Arabidopsis thaliana: one gene and its partner. The protein of the gene in region 2 interacts with the protein of the main gene of each other region in a pairwise test. Each region holds a gene or a part of one and is shown on either strand. Other genes may lie near its edges. The genes, in order: AT5G66330 and NAC097.

Region 1 (7,701 bases), 5.8 Mb from region 2:
TTATGTATCAGTAGAAAAAAACGGCACTGTTCAATTACAGAGATAAAATAAGATCTTCATCAGTCATCATCAGAGTATTTCTTTCCTAAAGCTTCGAATTAAAATCATATTCACTCGTTTTCTTTTATTTTTCAAAGATTTGGTTTTAAAAATAAAAATAAAAAGTTACGTGTCTTTCCTAATTTGCCCTTGACCGCATTGGTAGCCGCTCATCTTGGGAAATTAATACTTCCCGCTCATTGGTTTTTGATTTCACATCTTTAAGTTAAAACGCTTTATTTAGAATAAAAAAGTTAAATGTCCCCAACACTAAAGTATTTTTATTGTAAGCAGCACTAAGCAGTGTGAATTTGGATTAAGGTGAAATAACGAAAATAACCCTAAAGAGTAATAATGGAGAAAAGCATGTCTTCGGAGTAAAGGCAAAGTGAGGAACTGAGATGATGCAGAAACCGAAGACAAATGGCGGGCCAGCTTTTGTCCTTCTAACACACCACGAGAAAATGATTCTCCCTCACTCACATTATCCTTCAAACCTTTCAAATTAAAAAACATTATTCTTCATTTTACAAAATAAAATAAAAAATATCCATTCAGACAAAATAGATAAAAGAAAAATATCTTTGGAGATTCTCTTTTCTTCTTTCTACAAATTTCTGCCTTATTATTCAAATTGTGTAGATTCTCTTCTAATCTTTTGGTAACTATTAGTTGAGTTGGTGGATAAAATTTTATTAGTTAGCATTATCCAATTCGGAGTAAATATTACTATTGCTTAGCCTTTAATTTTAATTGTTTGTTTGGTTGAACAATAGTTTTGGCATTTTGCATTTATTTGTATCATATACAGAATCTGCATGTTGTTTAAAACTGTTGAATTTTAGAGCAATGGAAATCTCCCCCCTATATTTGGAAAATGCGTGATGATTATGACTTCCAAACAAAGGCATCGTTGTAATTATACATCAAAATGAATTGGCTATACTTTATTTCCAAAATGTGCATACAAATATTTTTAAACATTTTTGTCTCAATCTTAAAGGATTAAAATGCAATCCTAGGAAAGTTTTAAATTTAGGTGAGATAAAAAAAAAAAAAAAAAAAAAGTGGAAAAGGTCTTCGGAGCCGAGCCGCCGGCTTGAGAAGTAGTAGCCACGTGTAATGCTGACGTGCCGTGCTCTGTTTGGCTGTATCTCATGCATTTGACGTGAGTCGACCAATCAGAATTCCCCGACGGCTAATCCATTGATGTTTTGTTTTCACAATTATTTAGGGTGGAAAATCATCACACTCTTGCCTAAATTAAAACACGTATATTCATAAATCACTCTAATTCTGTCAATGAAATGGATAATCTGAGAAGATAAATATTTTGTAACAATGCTAAATATTAAATGACAAAACTAGCCTCGACGTATCCGTCGGCAAAGCTGCGTTTCTTGATATGGGGTCTTTATGTTTGTTGTACTTTTTTTTTCTTTTAAATTTTGAAATGTCAAATTAAGAAGAAGAAGAAGAAGAAGAAGAATAGTAAGAGAAGCTATGACAGAGAGTGTGAGAGAGAGGAGCTAAAAAGTCCCACGAGAATTGTTAGCCACTTTTGAATCTTCCATCTCCCATTTTTTTCTATGGAATGGATCGTACCACCAATGATATGAATTTGTTCATTAAAAATAGAGAAAAAACAAAATTGACAGCGATTTGTTAATGTAAATAAGAAACACTTGTTTGGTTTTATGCATTAAGACATAGAAAGCAAAGGAGACAACATATCAAATTCGAAACCTTGGAGCGGGAAAATGAAAATCATTCAATTTTGTCACATACTGACCGTGGTAGACTATTCAAACTATCTCACCTTCTTGCATTACGATTTTTTTTTTCAAATATAAAAGAAAAGCAAATTTTATTTGTCTTTTGTATATGAAACGAGTTTGAGGAATCAAAACTATCTAAAAAGACGTACCGAAAGTGAAAACTAAGAATATACTGTATGAGACATTAGAGGAGGTTGTCATCTACTCATAGTGTTGACTTTTGATGAAACCCAAATGAATGAATGAATGGTGGCGCCATTTCCTTTATGAAGGAACACCCCTTTTGTTTTGTCATTTTCTATTTGTACAGCCTAATTGTTAGGTTGTTTTCATTTTGAAGACGGGCCTACGAGATCACTTTCATTTGTTTATCGTATCATATGGGCTCTATAAATATGACCCAACATGTAAAGCCCAAGCAATCTGCATATAGAATTCTCATAGCTCGATATTGTTGGTTATGAGATTGTTCTGTTCATATGACCTAATCATCAACTGGGCCACCAGCCTACAAAATGGGCCCAAATCATATTCATGGTCGCACGTGCTGACCATAGCACATCCCGTGTATCTTATCCATTTTTGTTACACAAACCCATTTGTCATTAGTTAATAACAAGATCGTCTAGTTGGCTAGTTGCTGTCTCTCCAAACGGCAATTTTATTAAATTAATCACAATTTAACCGATGCAATTATCGGGTTAAGCAATTGCCGGAAAAACTCGACCGGACCGGATACTAACAAGGAAAGAGAAGATTACGGGACGACGCGGCTAAACTTTCTACATTCCTTCGGAGATCTCTGTTCTTGTCCTTGGCAGAAGAATAACGTCGCCGGACACCATGAGAAGCAGTTTCCGGCGAGCTGCACGTTCGCTGATCCAGGCTTTAACGCCATCAAAGGACCCGGTACGACTCCGAATAAGAAATTTCCGCCTAGTAAAAGTCTCTGAAACCCGGCGAATTCGGATCCGGGCGATACGGTTTTCCAGACGTACTGGGTCGGAATCATACCAAAGAACTTGTTGTTCTCTAACGACAATGCTGAGAGCTTTGGTGATAGACCCATGAACAGAGGTAACGCACCGAGGATCTGATTGTTGCTGAGATCTACGGATATGAGCTCGCTGGGGAGACCCAAGGGAGAATAGTAGGGTGACTCTAAAGAGGTGAAGCCATTGAAGGAGAGTGTTAGCTGCTGTAGAGACTGATGAGTGAAGATAAACGATGGGATTGAGCCACTGAGTTTGTTGTGGCTAAGATCGATTACTTCGAGAGAATTTAGAAGTTTGAAGCTTTCAGGGATCGTTCCTTGGAAGAGGTTGTTTCGCATTGAGATTTGGACTATAGATTCGGGTAAAAATGATGGGATCCGACCGGAGATGCGGTTATCGCTCGCGTCGAGGTAATACAGGTTTTTGAGTGAGCTCAGATCAGGGAATTCGCCGGAGATGTTGTTTAGCTGGATTTCCAGTCGTTTCAGGCTGGAAAGGCCATTGAAGCTCGCCGGAATGGAGCCGTAGAGGCGGTTGCTGTCTAGCACGAGCTCCTCAAGAACCGTCATTGACCCGACTGAATCGGGTATGGATCCGGAAAAGGAGTTTCCGGACACAGTGAGGCGGGTGAGACGGGTGAGATTGGAGAGCGAGTCGGGAAGTGGACCGGAGAAGTAGTTGCCGGAGAGATCGAGGGTCTGGAGATAAGGAAGGTTGAAAGAGACGGAGGAGAGGGAGCCTGAGTAACCGGCTTGGTCCAGACTGAGCTCCGTGACCCGACCCGATCCGGTAACGACGGAGTCGCAGCGGAACCCACAAGTGAATGTGTCGCTGAATATATTGTCGCAGGGATCGACGGAGAAATCCCAAGAACTCAGGCAAGAGCCTGGACTCATGGATTTGGCATCCACTGAGTTCTTGAAGTCTTTGAGAGCTGCCACGTCACCCCAGAAAGTCTTGGACTCTGCTGAAGATAAAGTGAGCAAAAGAAGAAGAACAAGGGAAATAAGTGAAGCCATTACAAAAGAGAGATGGTTAGCTCTGCTGAGAGATGTTTGGAAGAAGAAGAAGCAGAGTGGGTTTGGAGTGAATAATGACCGTTGGATGAGAGGGTCAAGGCGTGTGATAGATCTACAGAAAGTTGCTCTGAAACTTGAAAGACAGAGGAATTTATATATAGAGAGATTGAGATATTAAAATAGATAGTGTAAATTTATATCATGTGTGTCATTGTCCATCAGACATATGCGTGAAGACAACAACATCTGTACAGTGAGGTGTGGTTGGCCCTATCCCCATCCACCATAACTCAGAGGTTATGAGTTTTAGATTCTGTTGAGATTCCAAAGCAGAACAACTCTTGATTTAGGATTATTTGACATATTACCAATTCACATGTCATAAATTGACTAATAAACTTTACAATTTATTTCATTTTCTCCCATATGTGACGTACCCATTTGACCAGAAGTTGTCAAAATCTAAACTAGTCTTGGTTGATGACATAGATAGAAGAAGTAATTATAGCCTTACAGGAAGCAAGGTTGATGGGTTAATGAATGTGCAGCTGTTGCAAGCAAAGGTTCCAAATCATTGGCTCTAACTAACTTTAAATCTATGGAAGACGACGAAAATGTTCATATATGATAGGATCACTCATTAGCGTTAGGTGTCTAAAACTCTAAACCTAAGCCATGTGGGACACTAAATCATCCTAACGGGTCACTAAGACTATGCAGAGATTGGTAAAACAAAAGGTACTAACATAATCTATTGGCACCATCTGAATTTGTTGTCGTCCTTGCTTTTCGTCGGTATGTTGTTCTTAACGAATAATTGTCTCACTGTTTCTTTGTTAATCTTGAACTCAAAGACCATCCCTATAATAGTTAGAAAGATGCACAATTACAAAGCAGAAACTAGTGCTTACATCGATCACGATACTCTCTTCTCTGACCTTCTATTTTCCTCTAAGCTGTGATTTATGCTTATCCAGATTACTATTGAAATCGTCGACGAAGTGCGTTTGTTGCCCAATGCCATCTTTCCAGTCTCCGGAAGAAGAGATAATGGAGAAAGACAAACAGGGGAGAGAAGAGTGGATCAGGAACAGAGTCGAATGTATCCAAAGTTAGTTATGTGATTTGCTCGTGAGTCTCATGGAGAGAGAAAAACAGAGGCCCATACCTCTAGGGCTTAGTAGTTTTGTTTTACCCAGCAACAGCATGGCTTAGTTTTGGGCTACTTCATTATTTGGTCACTGAGGACTACAGTGTCGTCTTCTCTTTATGCAGCGAGCCTGCGACACTCAAATTAAAAATTCGGTTTGGAAAGCTTGATGCTGTGGACCTGAGGCTTCTGTTTTGTCCCCTTGAAATGCAATGATGGAATTGCAAATTGTCCCTCAGACGTGTTACTCTCTTATTGGTTCACAGTGAAATTTCCTAAGGCCCCACTTGCGTTCGGAGTTTAAAGTTGCTGCTTTTATCACCATCCGACATCCGTCTTCAAGATCCTTTCTACGTGCAACAACATCAAACTCTTGAGTCTTGCTTGACCAAGAAAATAAAAAGCAACTTAGGTTTTCCAAAAGAGAAATTTCGAAGACATGGTGCGAGTAGTACGGAGGAAATAATCGGGGACAAATCAGCATAAGCAAGGTGGGATTAGCTGTTTAAGGTTTAATGGGACCAATTCAATTATAGAATGATATAAATGTAAATCACAAAATGCATGATTTGTGTGCATCTTTTTTACAAGTCTTCACAACTCCATGCAACACTTAATTAAATTTTAATCCTAATGAGTTATTATAATGTTAGCTCGTTTTCCGATTCTTTTTGCATCTCGTTATCATCATGGCTTTCTTGAGGTGACGTAAATTGAATAATGAAAAAGAGAGCCTAAGAAATGAATTGGGAAAGAAGAGTTTTTTTAGGTCCAAACATAAACACCTGCAGAAATAAAGATGCATACCAATTTTACACCTTTTTCTGTTCCCCCACTCACTCATAATCTGCCGAATTTACAGCCTCACTCGTTGTAACAAAAGAATCAAAATACACATACAGTCTCACTGCTTGTCAGATTTTGGGGATTGCATTTGAGATTTGTATAGTAAAGCCCCTTCAGATGTGGCTAAAAAATACACCGTAACGTACGATGTGAAAACTATGTAAGATAGAAATATGGAGAAACTGGCTATCAGGATATATATATATAAAAAATAATGTAAAGAGTCGGATGTGGCAGTAAGTCTCTCTTCAAATGTAAGTGTACTGACATTATATCAATCATAGGAATGAGAGCATCACTTTAAAAACGGCTCAAACTGAATAAAACTTAAGATTAGGGTATGGCATATTGCCGGATATATAGTAGTCGTAGACGAACGATATACCTGTGCTAGTGTGTCTGATTTGTTGACCAAAAGCACAAGACACCTAAATACATGTCTTCACCCAAATTTCAATTTTGTAACCTTGTTTTTCACATTAATATTTCTACAGGCAAATCATAATTGCAATTAATTGACCTAAAGTAGTAATTTGAAAGGTAAATTAATGTTAAAGTAAACCTAAAAAAAGAGTAATGTGAAAAGCTGACAATAAAACAAGGCTGAGTTTAACGATCACAGTTGAAAACTGCCAGCTGCAAATCTTGCTTTTGATGTGAGCTTTCACAGAGACAGGGTCGTTGACTTTTGTAACAGTTGAAAATTGGAGTATACTATTACATTAACATTATACCTACAAAATTTGAACTTAATAATAAAAGATCAGGTAACAATTGTTTTAATAGAACATTATCTCCCTTAGTTAATTACTTTTGAAAACCAAGATTAGTACGTTATAATCTTCACCTCCGAAGATGTTTTAAAACCCTAATTCTACCGTAAGAATCTAAAAAAAAGTTATGATTTGTTGTACTCTCTCTGTGTGGAATTCAAGATCTTGAGTTGGAGAAGAAGTGCGTACCAGTCATGAAAGTGTTAATGGGAGTAGGATAATTAAGTGAGGCAGGATCGATATAATGATCTGAAGTGGAGCCAACGACTCCATTGTTGCAGCTCACGTTTGGGCTTGATGATGAGGCCGATGGGCCTGCGGTTATGAGATTCAACGGCTGAGATCCACCGCCCGAGGAGCTTCTCTCGGCCGGGCCTTGATCGTAGAGAACACCTTTGAAGACGTGACCGCCTATACTCACAGCTGTTTTATATGCATACTCTTCTTCTTCATCATCTACGGAACTCACACGCACGCACCGAAAAACTGCCGACGAGCTAACTTCCGGCGGAAAATTCCCAACCTCCAACCCTAGATAGAAAACATTTAATTAATTATTGTTAATTATAAGAAAAAATCGTAGGAGTATTTTCAACGTATGATTTGTTTGTTTGTTTTTATCTTAACTCAAATTAATAATTACAGCATTAACAAACAAATAAACAAAAACTTAATAATTACAGGATATAAACACAAATATCAAGATCAGTGAGAACAGTTTCTTCCTGTCATTCCAAGAGTCAGTCTTACTGATCTACAGTATTTCCATATTAAAAAAAAAAAATAGGAAGAAGAAAATCGTTCACCTTTTTTTTTTCTTGAAAATGAAAAAAGAAGAACAAAAAAAGCTGATCAAAATAGGGTTTCTGTTTCTGCAATTGAAACTAATAACTCAAGTTATTCAAAGCTCATTACTTTAATTTTCATTCAGGGGTGAATAACCATAAAGAGATATTATGAAATACCTGAAGTGTTGTTAGAAGGTATACGAGTGTAGGCCATGGAAGTCGATCTCGCCGGGATACGCTCTCTCTGTCGTTTAGGGACGCTCCCTCCCAGTTGCTGCGGTTGCTGACCGGTAGAAAGCTGCTGCTGGCGTTC
Region 2 (6,962 bases):
AACGGAAAGTCTTTTGTGAGGGTTAATCTAAAGACTTCTTGTTCTACATGAAATTGGATGGTTGCAAACTGATAATGTCTTAGTAATAATTAAGTCCAATTAATTATGCATAAAATCATATTGTTAAATTATATTAAAATTGTGGTGATTTTAATCTTAAGTATGGTGATAGTTGTCTTCGCTTCTACACCATCCATGCATATTGCATACATATTGCTCATCAGCCTAAATTAATCAAATGCGATCACAACTATATCCTCTCATTTTTTGTATCAAATCAAGTCAATAACCCCCACGAGTTTACCATGTATTTATTTTAGGAAATTCTATATTTAGAAATCTTGAATTCAAAACAAAATATACTAATGATGAAGGAGCATCTCCATTGCATATAAAAGGAGAGGGTCTTTAGCTATATTAAAAAAATTATAATTATAAGATATGAATAATTAAATATAAAAGGGTCTTTAAATTTGAGACATCTCTCTCCAAAATGTCTCTATAAAGACATTTGAGACATTGTGTCTTAAATATAAAGATACCCAAACATTAAAATATTATACTTTCTTTTACATATCCTACTATATTATTTGGAAAGTACATTTTAAATATAACATTAATTTTTTAAGTAATTACATAGGTATATCATTAGAAATAAAATTTTAAAGAGTAAATTAATTTATCTCTTTAAGGATTAAAAAGTCAAATACTAATTTAATTAATTAAATTTAATTAAAAAACGAAATACATTATTAATTTTCAAAAATAATAACCAATCAAGATCAACATATAAGATTTGATATTTAAATTTTAATTAATTTAATTAAATTTAAAAAAATACATTATTAATTTCCAAAAAAGTAACCTATTAAAATCAACAAATTAGATTTTATATCTAAATTATCATATTAATTTTTTATTAATTATTATAGTTCACTTCTCATCTTTATATGATTCTATTTTTGCGAAAAAATAATATCATCATTATAAAAAAAAAATTAGAGTTTTTTCGCATATGCCATAATTTAAATTTTTAAAAACAAATATAAACTGTTCAATACATGAAAAAATATTATAAAGGGTGAAAAATAGATTTAAGAAAACTTTCTACTGAGTAACGGGTCATAATTTGAAATATTTATATTCAATTTCATACATATTATATTGAAAATTTATAATCTTATATACTATAATAATTAATAACATATTAGATTTTTTTATGTGTATGATGTGATTCAATTTTTAATACAAGCTGGAAAATCCTAGAATTGACGGGTTTAGATCGATATTAATACAAGATGGTATACTACATGTGAAACTCTTAAATTAACAATTAAACTACAAGTGTCTAATTATAAACACTAAACAATATACATAATATCAACAAAACATATACAACTCACAGTTTACTATACATTTAAAATCAAATAAAATAATATCATATATTTTTAAATCATCTTTACAATAAAAGTTTTTAGTTTAACTAAAATATAAGCCTACCTGCGGTATACTGCAGGTTAATATCTAGATTATAAGGTTTATTGGATCTAAAGACGGGTCATCAAAGATTTCCTAAACTGAAGCAAAATATACTGAATACTCAAATATCTATCTGTTACCAAATTATAAACAAATAAGTTCGTAAAACAATTTAATATTTTATATATATAATCAATTAAATCTTAATCACATAAAAATTAGCACAAAAAAAAGTATTCAACAATTAAAAAATTATCAAATCTCTGTGTTATATAAGTTTTGATACTATATTCGAATAAAGTGTAATATACCTTTTCAATTTGTATTCTTTAACTAATTTAAGCTAACTAATATATTTGCTAATCTTTTACCTATCAAAACCGACTATCGTTTCTTATCTCTATAGTATTTTTGCAAGACTTTTTTGGTGGATTTGGGTAAAAGTGCATTCGGGTCATATGGTACATTCCCCTATTAAATAAATATGGTGTACTCCTATTTATTAGCTAAAATGTTTAGATTATAATTCAGAGTCATATCATTAATAAAATTAATATTAATAAAATAAATGGCTTTTTGGCAAGACAGATTTGGAGTGACGGGTTTTTGAATCAACATTAATAAAAAAGTAAAATATAATTAATCCACCGTTTCAATACTGGTTAAATATTTAATTTATTATTTTTTAAGACCACTAATATTAAACATATCAAATCATCCTAATTTAGAAAAGATTATATAAAACCGAAAATATTATGTAGTATGTATAATGTTACTATATATAAAATTAAACTATAAAATATAAATGTATTAGAGAATGATATAATTTGCAAAACTTTTATATATAAAAATAATTCTTAAATTTTAAAAATTACTTTTTTAAAAAAAAATCACGGGACGGGTAAAGAAATTATACAACAGGTTTTATTTTGGAATTGGATTATATGGTGGATGTATTTGAATCAATATTTATAAAATTTTAAAATATTATTAATATGCTGTTTTAATAGGGGTTACAACTTCAGTTTTTTAAAAATTGTCTCATGGATTCGTGGTATAGCGTTACTTAATAATAATTATAAACTGTAAAATATAAATATTTTATAAAAATAAAATTTGCAAATTTTAATATATATTACTTTTAAAAAATAAATCGTCCCGCGGTATATCGCGGATTAAAATCTAGTTGTATTTATATTGTGGGAAGACCTCCTCATGTGATGTTGGATGGATTGGTCTAACGGACCACTAATAATATATATATATATATAATTGGACAAGAACAAAATAAAACGGGAGAGTGAAAGCAACTTGTGGCATCTTTCACCACATCCTCAATTACATTCCATTCCATTCCAAAGGGCTTGGAAGACAATAAGACAAATCATGCATATATATTTCATTTAGATGTTCCCTAATATCCTAACAATAGTAACTAAATTCAAACGATTCACCACAAAACCAAGTACATATATTTATGGCATCAACCTCGGTCGTCACCGGCTTTGAATAACTTCCTCGCCATCAGACTCGTCAGACTCGTGCTCATCCTCCACCATCTCTTCATCATTCTCTTCCTTCACTACGACTTTCACCGCCCTCCATTTTCCTACCTCACCCTTTAAAACCCAAAACATTGATATAGTTAGCTCTAAACTATTACTTACAACAAAAATATATGTTATAGAAAAAGATAAAAGTCCAATGAGTGACTCACCCGAGGTAGAGGGGACGATGACCACCTTGTAGCTCTAGAGGAAAGAAGTCGGAACTCGTACATGATCCATGGAGTTATTGTCCCTCGAGGTTTTTTTCCAATAAAGAAAGCAAATGTCTTTCTCCTTCCTTCTAAATGAATACAATCACGACCACCAGCCTCCATTACTTCCTCTTCTTCACACTCTTCCCAATAACCGGATAACGTCTCTCTTCCCTTCCTCTCTCGCTCTTCCTTCTTCACGAAGTAATACACTTCCTTGTTCTTCTCTCCTACAACAAAAGTGTACGTACAACATTCACTAAACCACATTTTTCAATACATTTGACGTGATATGGTATAGTAATTATTAGAGAGAAGAGTTTGTAGCAAACCTAGCAAGTCCCATGGATCAACATTGCAAGAACGGAGCTCAGGGAGATCGAAGTCCATTGGACGGTGGAGGACCTTCTTGGCGAGATACTCGAACACAAGATCTTCATCATCGGGATCGAACCGAAACCCGGGAGGGAGTCTCATGCTTCTTCCGTTCATGGCAAATCTCTGCGCAGAAATGTCCATTGCTTTCTTATGAGTATCCTTTGTGTTTGGTTTAGGTTGTTTATATATACTTATGAGTGTGTCACCTTTAGTTTGGCAAAAGCGGATTCTGCTTTTCCTTTAGATACTTTTTACGTACTACTATTAATTTCAAGAGATAAATAGATAAAAAAAAATTGATAACTGCAAATTCAGAGATCGTAGATTGGTTTCATTTTTGTTTATTTAAATGCGAGGATCATCATAACAAATTGTGGTGCATGTACCCATGCAGTCAACGTTGTTAAGGTTTTGAATATAGCGAGTATTCAAAAATATCTTTATTTTTTTGGTAAAGATAATCTAGTTCCTTTTTCGTTTTCCTGGGCAAAGGTAATTATTTATTTTTTCAACCAAAACGAAATAAACAAGATTTAAGTTCCAAAAGCCTAGATCCACGCTGATTCATTACCATATAAGTACATTCAACATCAATAACTAAAACGAGCACATTTCTAACAATTGGCCCAGAACTAATTTTAACATGCATTTGAAATTTTATTTTTCATAAGCCGATCGGTTAGCCCAGGTAAAAATACACGTAAGTGTTTAGAGTGGATTTAAACCCGAAAAATTACCACAGTGTTTATTCCAAATCTGAAATGTTTTCACACCGAAAAAGAAAACAAACCTTTATGTTAGGGACCTTACACATGTTTAGGGACTAGTGTATATATCATCCATGTAAAAATATCCATGCGACCCTTTTTTTTTCTTATAGTAATGTCGGAATGATATACGAATTATAGATATGAATGTACATAAATAAGCGAAAGTTTTGGACGTACGTTCAACCTATAATTTTGTAGTAAAATCATTTCTTGGTATAAATTTATACGTGGAAAAGGAAAACTTATATCATCGAGGAATCAAAATTTTCTTTGTCTTTATCATTTGGCAAGTGAAATAATAATGTCGGGATACAATACATTTTTAAAACAATAAATTTAAGTAAATATGCATAAGCAATGATTAAGAAATAAGAAAAATATAAGAAAGTATATTCAGAAAACAAAAGTGAATTTGAAAGAGAGTCCAAGTCGATCCCAACTTAAAGATTTGAGAAGCTGACTTAACGAGTAAGTTATTAGATGTTGGTCTGACTCAATTTTCTACTCTCATGCACTTCTTTAATTTCAATTATTTTAGATAAATTATTGTATATATGTGTGTCTTTGGACTGGTGACTTGCCTTTTATCCTTCCTTTTTTTCCTTGGATCAATAAAGCTCCCAAAGCCCCCACCAAACCAAAGTTGTTCCAATTTTTTGCTTCAACTTTCCAGCATCAGCCTTTGATTTTTACAAATAGCATTTTAGGTTTAGTCCTCTTTGTATAATGTTATGTTTTATACACTAGAAATAAAGGTTACATAATTTGTCTTTCGAAAGACTAAGAAAAGAAAATGAAATGGATTAAAGATGATTGTTTCATTGTTAAGGAATCGAGATTAGTTTAATTGGTTGGAACTTGGAAGAGAGTATTCATCAGCTTTCTTTTGCTGAATCTTAATTCGAATGCAACATGACTAGCTTATATTTGATAAATATTTTAAATTGTTAACATCTAGCTTTAATTCTAGTCCAAAATTTCTCTATATAATTTTCATGTGTTGAAAGTAGGCAAAGCTCTATTTGTTTTATATTCATAAAGGATATAGAAAAAGCTTTAAATTTGTCAATTTAGAATCATATGTCTTACTCCTCCCACGCAGCATTTTGGATTTGGTACTTTTCTTCACCTCGAAGATGTTGGCTTTCCATTTCCTTTATTTGTTTGTTTTCAATCTTCTTTTTACTTTAGATTTTGATGATTTAGCGACATTTCTTAAGCAACGACATACATAAATGAAAAGTTTCATTTCTTTATAACTTAGTGTTGTCAATTGATGGTTGATATTGATATGGTACAAGCACCATCTTCATGTTCAATTATTCTTTTTAACCATACATACACTTGAACGTAATTTTTTGATTGGTTCTCCAATGCAAAAAGAAAATAGTTTTAAAATAATGTCTTTGAATCTAGTTCTAATTGAATGGGTTTACCAAAGCATACTAAGTTAGTCAAGTAAGTTACTTTTCTTTCCTTTTTTTTTTTTTTTTTGAATACCAGGAGGTTTTGGGACGAAGCCCGTAATTCCCTTAGGTCCGAAATTTGTTCCAAGCGTCACTCGAACCGACGACCTCTAAACTTTAAAGTTAATCACAATGGAGATTGTAACATTTTGATTATCTTGGAGCAAATGAATTCTTAGAAGAATATTTGATATACACCACCAAAAAAATACATGAACTAGTCAACAAATAGCTGGGTGAACCGCCAGTTCCCGGTTCCATCAGAGTTTTAAAAAGTCCGGTTTTATGACTAGTTTAGACCCAAATGTGCCTGCTGGTTCCCTATTAAACCGGTCGGGTCCGGGTTTAAAATCACTGAGTCTACCCACCCTATATATCCGTACACTCGGCCCAGATCATGATCCATATTTAAATCAAACTTTTACATATTTGATCTCAATATGATTATTTAACTGTTGGGCTTTTAATGGGGGTTTTGGCCCAATAAGTAAGTAAGCGGCGTCTCTTGAACTTTATTGTAGCCTTTTGGGGTTTTTGAGAAAAGTTTTTAGGGTTTTCAGTCGCTGAGAACAATTTTCTTCTCCTTCTTCTTCTTCAAGCAGAGACGCTCTCAGCTCACCAGACATGGATCCTAGCATGGCAAACAACCCGGAATTGCTTCAATTCCTCGCCGTAAGTCTCCGATTTGTTTTTGATGAATGCTAATTAGTTCTTTCAATTTTAAAGCTTTTTAAGTCGATTCACATGGAAACTTGAGCATTTGGACAGCGAAATTATAAGTAGAAGCAGTGTTTTAAGTCCTGTCTGGATTCACAGAAACCATTTATTTGAATCTTCGTTGACGGGTCAAATTAACATTTCGATGCTTTAAACTTGAAAGATCTGATTTTTTTTTTCATGTGTGATTTAGTTGGTATGATTAGAATCAAGTTGAATTGAGATTTAGTGTACTAATATGTGTTTACAAGAATTGGGTTTATTAGGGTTTATGCAAAGTAATGATTTTTTTTTGTCTTGGGTTTATGTTTGGTGAATTGTAAGAGAATGTGGGTGTGTGTTTGTGTGGCAGCAAGAGAAAGAAAGAGCAATGGTGAACGAAATGGTGTCGAA

The links.
Region 1: the proteins of NAC097 (region 2) and AT5G66330 interact in a two-hybrid assay, tested with the Arabidopsis thaliana proteins (one study listed by BioGRID).

Annotation. Positions count from the first base shown.
Region 1 is NC_003076.8:26,497,957-26,505,657, forward strand, and holds AT5G66330 (Leucine-rich repeat (LRR) family protein), read right to left. Parts: upstream 3,832-7,701; coding exon 2,575-3,831; 3' UTR 2,446-2,574; downstream 1-2,445. Other genes in the region: AT5G66340 (uncharacterized protein), read left to right, coding at 4,546-4,569, 4,809-4,942, 5,086-5,197; SHI (Lateral root primordium (LRP) protein-like protein), read right to left, coding at 5,300-5,331, 6,790-7,131, 7,566-7,701.
Region 2 is NC_003076.8:20,676,020-20,682,981, reverse strand, and holds NAC097 (NAC domain containing protein 97), read right to left. Parts: upstream 3,761-6,962; 5' UTR 3,758-3,760; coding exon 3,571-3,757; intron 3,545-3,570; exon of another isoform or gene 3,509-3,544; coding exon of another isoform or gene 3,469-3,508; coding exon 3,197-3,468; intron 3,099-3,196; coding exon 2,976-3,098; 3' UTR 2,708-2,975; downstream 1-2,707. Other genes in the region: TIM8 (translocase inner membrane subunit 8), read left to right, coding at 6,477-6,524, 6,922-6,962.